2 linked regions of the Stegostoma tigrinum genome follow. The protein of the gene in region 1 purifies or fractionates together with the protein of each later gene. This does not show direct contact. Links are inferred from orthologs where the notes say so. Each region holds a gene or a part of one and is shown in the gene's direction. Other genes may lie near its edges.

Region 1 (3,750 bases):
GGGCAGCCATGAAGTGGTGTGGATCATCAACAGCATCAGAACTGTACTCACAATCTGAAACCTCATGGCATGGCATATTCCCTAAACAACCATTAACATCAATCCAGAGAATCAACCCTGGTTCAACGGAGACTGCAGGAGGATATGCCAGGAGCAGCACCAGGCATACCTGAAGTATACCTGAAGTATTAGATGACATGTCCATCATGGGCCTCCTGCACTGCCACAATGATGCCACCGAAGGTTGCAGGAACAGCAACTCATATTCCGCCTGGGAACCCTGCAGCCATATGGTATCAATGTGGACTTCACCAGTTTCAAAATCTCCCCTTCCCCAACTGCATCCCTAAACCAGCCCAGTTCGTCCCCTCCCCCCACAGCACCACACAACCAGCCCAGCTCCTCCACTCCACCCACTGCATCCCAAAACCAGTCCAACCTGTCTCCGCCTCCCTAACCTGTTCTTCCTCTCACCCATCCCTTCCTCCCACCCCAAGCCGCACCCCCATCTACCTACTAACCTCATCCCACCTCCTTGACCTGTCCATCTTCCCTGGACTGACCTATCCCCTCCCTACCTCCCCACCTATACTCTCTCCACCTATCTTCTTTTCTCTCCATCTTCGGTCCGCCTCCCCCTCTCTCCCTATTTATTCCAGTTCCCTCACCCCATCCCCCTCTCTGATGAAGTGTCTAGGACCGAAACGTCAGCTTTTGTGCTCCTGAGATGCAGCTTGGCCTGCTGTGTTCATCCAGGCTCGCATTTTGTTGTCTTGGATTCTCCAGCATCTGCAGTTCCCATTATCTCTGATACCTGAAGTATCAACCTGGTAAAGCCATATTGGATTTGAAACACTTCCAATGTAATTTTTTGTTTTATCCTCTGTGACTGCCTTTTTGGTGTCTATCAAGACCAGTATTTGAGGGAATGACACCAGCAGACCGCAACCTCATCCTGACCCCCAAACAGAAGACCGTAAGATCGCAGAGTAGGCCATTTGGCCCATTGAGTCTGTTGTGCTAAACAATCATGACTAATAGGTTTGTCAATTCCATTCTCCTGCCTTGTCCCCGCAATCCTCAATCCCCACACCCTGACATTCTCACCCGACCCGAAAGTCTGCCCCACCCTCACGCCCACCTTCACTCTGTCCCTTTCTCGTCTCCCTCATCTCCGTCTCTCATATATTGTTTTTGACATAATTATTTCTCATGCACCCTCAAACCTCGGATGTCTTTCCCAAACATGTTTCAACAAAATACTAAAGTTAACTCCTTCTGGGGGCGGGAGCTCAAGTGCAACGAAAGCGTGCCTGGGAGGACCATGTCAGGATGGGAAGACCAGGCTGCGTGGATCAAGCTGGGGCAGCGCTTGGGACCAGGCTGCTCAATGGATCGTGAGTGAATGATCTGGAATGGGCGGGGTGCGAGATCAGGCGAAACAAGTAGCTGAAGGAGCAACAGAGCAGAGCTCGAGCCGGATCGGAGCGGCCATGGAGTGAGTGAGAAGTGGACGAGGAGGTGAGAAGGTGAGGAGTTGGAGATAGGAGATAGGGGAGAGAGAGAGATATAGATAGATAGATAGATAGGTAGATAGATAGAGACGGCCGGGCGGGTGAAGAGGGGTACTTATCGACTTAGTGAGGGTCCGGGCCGGGTTTCGAGATCGCAGACAGGGGCACCCAGCCCCCGTCGACACCCCCGGAATTCGGGCCGTTAGTCCCTCCTCCCACCCCCCACCCCCCACCCCCCCGTCCATTGCCCCCCCCACCCCCCACCCCCCACCCCCCCGTCCATTGCCCCCCACACCCCACACCCCCGTCCATTGCCCCCCACACCCACCCACCCGCCCGCCCTCTCCCATTGCCCCCCACACCCACCCACCCGCCCCCCCCTCTCCCATTGCCCCCCACACCCACCCACCCGCCCCCCCCTCTCCCATTGCCCCCCACCCCCCCCTCTCCCATTGCCCCCCACCCCCCACCCCCCCGTCCATTGCCCCCCACACCCCCGTCCATTGCCCCCCACACCCCACACCCCCGTCCATTGCCCCCCACACCCACCCACCCGCCCGCCCTCTCCCATTGCCCCCCACACCCACCCACCCGCCCCCCCCTCTCCCATTGCCCCCCACACCCACCCACCCGCCCCCCCCTCTCCCATTGCCCCCCACACCCACCCACCCGCCCCCCCTCTCCCATTGCCCCCCACACCCACCCGCCCCCCCCTCTCCCATTGCCCCCCACACCCACCCACCCGCCCCCCCTCTCCCATTGCCCCCCACACCCACCCACCCGCCCCCCCTCTCCCATTGCCCCCCACACCCACCCGCCCCCCCCTCTCCCATTGCGCCCCACCCCCATTGCGCCCCACCCCCATTGCGCCCCACGCCCGCCCCCCCTTTTGCGCCCCACGCCCGCCCCGCCCCCCCATTGCGCCCCACGCCCGCCCGCCCCGCCCCCCCATTGCGCCCCACGCCCTCACGCCCGCCCCCCCCATTGCGCCTCACGCCCGCCCGCCCCCCCCATTGCGACCCACGCCCGCCCCCCCCATTGTGCCCCACGCCCGCCCGCCCGCCCCCCCATTGCGCCCCACGCCCGCCCGCCCGCCCCCCCATTGCGCCCCACGCCCGCCCGCCCGCCCCCCCCCCCCATTGCGCCCCACGCCCGCCCGCCCGCCCCCCCCATTGCGCCCCACGCCTGCCCGCCCCCCCCCCATTGCGCCCCACGCCTGCCCGCCCCCCCCATTGCGCCCCACGCCTGCCCCCCCATTGCGCCCCACGCCCACCCGCCCCCCCGCCCCCCCGCCCCCCCATTGCGCCCCACGCCCGCCCGCCCTCCCGCCCCCCCATTGCGCCCCACGCCCACCCGCCCGCCCCCCGATTGCGCCCCACGCCCGCGCGCCCCCCCCTTTGCGCCCCCCCCTTTGCGCCCCCCCCTTTGCGCCCGCCCCCCCATTGCGCGCCCCCCCATTGCGCGCCCCCCCATTGCGCGCCCCCCCCATTGCGCGCCCCCCCCATTGCGCGCCCCCCCCATTGCGCGCCCCCCCCCATTGCGCGCCCCCCCCCATTGCGCCCCCCCCATTGCGCCCCCCCCCCATTGCGCGCCCCCCCCATTGCACCGCCCCCCCATTGCGCCCCCCACCCCATTGCGCCCCACTCCCATTGCGCCCCACGCCCGCCCGCCCCTCTCCCATTGCTCCCCACGCCTGCCCGCCCGCCCCTCTCCCATTGCGCCCCACGCCCGCCCCTCTCCCATTGCGCCCCACGCCCGCCCGCCCGCCCCTCTCCCATTGCGCCCCACGCCCGCCCGCCCGCCCCTCTCCCATTGCGCCCCACGCCCGCCCCTCTCCCATTGCGCCCCACGCCCGCCCGCCCCTCTCCCATTGCGCCCCACGCCCGCCCGCCCGCCCCTCTCCCATTGCGCCCCACGCCCACCCCTCTCCCATTGCGCCCCACGCCCGCCCGCCCGCCCCTCTCCCATTGCGCCCCACGCCCGCCCGCCCCTCTCCCATTGCGCCCCACGCCCGCCCGCCCCTCTCCCATTGCGCCCCACGCCCGCCCGCCCGCCCCTCTCCCATTGCGCCCCACGCCCGCCCGCCCGCCCCTCTCCCATTGCGCCCCACGCCCGCCCGCCCGCCCCTCTCCCATTGCGCCCCACGCCCGCCCGCCCGCCCCTCTCCCATTGCGCCCCACGCCCGCCCGCCCGCCCCCTCTCCCATTGCGCCCCACGCCCGCCCGCCCGCCCCTCT
Region 2 (3,750 bases), on another chromosome or scaffold:
CTCAGGAGCACAAAAGCTGACGTTTCGGGCCTAGGCCCGAAACGTCAGCTTTTGTGCTCCTGAGATGCTGCTTGGCCTGCTGTGTTCATCCAGCCTCACATTTTATTATCACTATAGACAACAACCACTGCTGTGCTTTGATCAATCTTCTTTGTTGCTTCAAAAAACTCAATCAATTAGCAGGACATGATTTCCCATGCACAAAACTATGTTGGCTATCCATAATCAGCCTTTAGCAGGTCCTTAGTGACTCCACACCAATAGTTGTATGTACAGTTCTGGTTTCCCTGCCTAAGGAAGGACATACTTTAACCTTAGAGGGAGCACAGTGGAAATTCATTTGGCTGGTATTGAGCACAGTAGGTCTGTTCTATGAGGAGACATTGGTTTAACTGGGCCTGTCTTCCCTGGAGGAAAGAAGGGTGAGATGGGACCTGATTGAAACGTATATAATTCTCAAAAGGCCGGACAGATGAGATGCAGGGAGGAGTCTGAGGTAAGTCATACTGCACTTGCAATTTGAACTCTTATTTCTCTCTCCACAGATGTTGCCAGGCCTGCTGAGTTCCTCCAGCATTCTCTTTGGATGTTTAGCGAGGTTGGGAGAGTCTAGAATTAGGATGGATCGGATGACCTCCTTCTGTACTGTAAAAATCGACGTCACTGTCCCATCATGAAGAAAGTGTGGAACTTGCTGCCACAGATACAATGTTGCTGTTGGCTGTATCAATACCAATGGGGGCGGGGAAAAGCCTGTAACGTATGACGTAGACGTGTGGCGTGGAAGACGTCATGTGCGTCATTACGTCACCGCGCCGCTGTTTATAAAAAGGCGGAGAGGCTGCGGCTGCCGTTACAAGATGGCGGCGTGTGGACGTGGGAGTCTGGTGTTGGTGGGGGCACCTTTGAACGGGAGATGGCTGCGGGCCTCGCATTGTCTGCCGGCGGTGGCTCTCACTCTCCTGCTCGCGTGGCACTGTGGGGCCCAGGGAGGATCGGACCGCGTTCGGGACGCGTTGGGCGCGCACAACCAGCCGCAGGATGGCGGCCCCGTGGGACAGGTCGAAGTCCAGGGTCTGCCCCAGGCTCAGTTCCAGGCCCGTCCACAGGGCCAGGCCCAATTCCAGGCCCCGCGGAAGAACATCTGGCGGCTTTCGGAGGACCCGATGTGTCACGAAGACGTGGTCCGTCTCTGCCCCAAACACACCTGGCAGAATAACTTCGCGGTGCTCGAGTGTCTGCAGGACGTGCGGGAGGTAAGCGGCGGTGTCCAGCAGCTTAGGGGTTGGTCACTGGGCTTTTCTGGGGTATCGCACTTGGCTTTGGGTACGATGGTGGTGGTGGTGGAGGAGGGGCACATTGACTGTTGATCCTCGCTCCCCAGCAAACAGACAGGAAACGGCCTGGTTGACAGGAGCTGTTTCTGACCGGCCACTGAAAATCAAATTGGTTTTGATCGCTGGCAGGTTGCTCTGAATAAGGTGAGGGAATAGTTTGTCGGCAGATTATCTCCAAAGTGTGTAGGTGCCCTACGGACAAGTTCTGATTCCGAAACCAGCATTTTTAATTTGCTGGGCAATTTTACTTTATATTGTGCAGTTTTATGTGGAGAGTACCATTTGCGGACAATCAAATGATCACGTCTAAACTTGTTGGTTAGCTTCTGATTTTTTGCGGACTAATATTGGACTCCTGGGAGGAGTCACCAGCCAAACTGAATTCATCTGCAGCCCAATCCTTCGCGTAGTTAGTATCTTAACAGTATAATGGGGCTGTTGGCCTCCTATGGAGGTTAGAGTCTTTAGAAATAAATTTATTTTAAAGTAATTTCAAGTGCAGATGTTTAAAGCTTGACATTCCTCCAGTTAATTGAAATAAATTTCTAGGATGACTCCATATGCCACTGAGTACCAGAGGGATTGGTAAAGACCTGGGGTGTGCCTGTGTAAGTGTATTTGTTCTTTGGCTATAGCACATGGGCACAGTTGATTTTACGACTGTTAGTTTAATTCTGATCTGTCAGAATCCCTTTTCATGTTATTACAATTCACTAATTTTTCAAAATGATCTATCTGTGGTGGTATTAGGATGGAGGAGATTAAAGTACCTCTCAGTGTTGAGAATTGGAATGTTTGTGCTGTATTTGTCAAAACATTGGTGATAGCTGAATGGGTTATGATACCTTGTTTCAGAGAAGGTTAAACAGCAGCTGACAGAAGCCTTATTAAGATGAAAAGTGTAATGATGGTGCACATAGGTGATACTTGCTGTTGTAGTTGAGGTAGAGAAGTGGTTTTGGCCCAGTCCAACTGAATCTATCTGGAAGATGGCTTCATCAATAATTTCAGAGATAGCAAGAGCAACAGATGCTGGAGTCAGAGGAACACAGTATGGAGCTGGAAGGAACACAGGGCCACGCAACATCAGAGGAGCAGAAAAATTGACATTTTGGTGGGGACTCTTCAGAAAAAGGGCCCCATTTTCTGAAGAAGGGTCCTGACCTGAAACCTCAACTTTCCTGCTCCTTTGATGCTGCCTGGCCTGCTGTTTTCCACCAGCTCCATACTCTGTTACCTCTTAATTAATAATTTGTTGTCTCCAGGCTGTGAAATCTAACAACCTGATATATTGCAATGAAAGGTCTGCCAGGAAAGAAAAGGTTAAATTAGGCTGGATAAAACTCTTTTCACTGAGGCAAAAAGAAAGGCTTTAGTTGGAATTTCTGAGTGATGATTTTTAAACACTCTGAACTGCAGGCAAGTCTATACAAAGCTTCTCATTCTAAGCTGTTTATGGGGAACATGTCCATATAGTGAGCTGTGTTTGGGCAAAATCTGCATTGGCAATATGCTGCCTCTTAGTTGGTCTCTTCTAATGAGCTGTACTTGGTAGTAACTCCTGTATTTGCCCTAAATCTTGCAGTATTCTTATACGTTTTACACACTTGTGTAACTCAGCGACTTGGTTGCTCCGTGCTGACTATTGTGTACATTTTAAAATTGATCTTAGCACTTTAGGCCTTCACTGTTCTGTTGAAGTGCTAATAACAGACTGAATCAGTCAGAAAACCACAACAGGCGTATCTTTATGCTTAGTTACGCTGGCATGAGTACAGTGCTCCTGATCCTGACAATGCATCTATATTTATTTTTCTCACTGTACTTTGCTTAGGGCCTTGGTATGAAAGCTGGAACCGTGACAGCAAGAGTCTTTTTTGATGAGGTCAGACAGCATCGTTGGAGAGAGACAGAGTGTATGTTTCACACTGTCCCCTCGTCTGAACCTTTTGCAGCATTTTTTGTTCTATATTCAGATTGCCAGCATCTGTGATATTTTGTTTTTGCTTTTTTATTGATCTTTGACATTCTGCTCACAAGTACTAGCAGGGAGTCAAGTGCTCATAAATTTTAGCACAGTACCATCCACAATATGCCCTGCAGAAATTAACAGAAGGCTCCTTCGACAGCACCTTCCTAATCCACGACCACTTCTATCCAGAATGACAAGGGCAGCAGGTATGTGGGAATGCCACCACCTGCAAGTTCCCCTCCAAGCCACTATCCATTATGACTTCGAAATATGACTGTTCCTTCACTGTCACTGGTTCAAAATCCTGGCATTCCCTCACTAAGTGCATTGTGGGTTAACCTACAGCATGTGGATTGCAGCAGTTTAAGAAGGCGGCTTACCACCACCTTCACAGTTGCTGTTAGGGATGGGCAATAAATGCTGGCCAGCCAGTTCCGCCCA

What was found. Proteins that work in one complex are often made in the same cells at the same time.
Region 2: the proteins of osbpl8 (region 1) and glg1a purify together in Homo sapiens (co-immunoprecipitation; 3 studies listed by BioGRID and IntAct, with this or other methods). This does not show direct contact. The link is inferred for Stegostoma tigrinum from reciprocal best matches to the Homo sapiens genes OSBPL8 and GLG1.

The regions. Positions count from the first base shown.
Region 1 is NC_081371.1:62,918,357-62,922,106, forward strand, and holds the start of osbpl8 (oxysterol-binding protein-related protein 8), read left to right. Parts: upstream 1-1,414; 5' UTR 1,415-1,521; exon of another isoform or gene 1,522-1,529; intron 1,530-3,750. UniProt on the Homo sapiens protein: Lipid transporter involved in lipid countertransport between the endoplasmic reticulum and the plasma membrane: specifically exchanges phosphatidylserine with phosphatidylinositol 4-phosphate (PI4P), delivering phosphatidylserine to the plasma membrane in exchange for PI4P, which is degraded by the SAC1/SACM1L phosphatase in the endoplasmic reticulum.
Region 2 is NC_081369.1:11,881,113-11,884,862, forward strand, and holds the start of glg1a (Golgi apparatus protein 1), read left to right. Parts: upstream 1-835; 5' UTR 836-860; coding exon 861-1,256; intron 1,257-3,750. UniProt on the Homo sapiens protein: Binds fibroblast growth factor and E-selectin (cell-adhesion lectin on endothelial cells mediating the binding of neutrophils).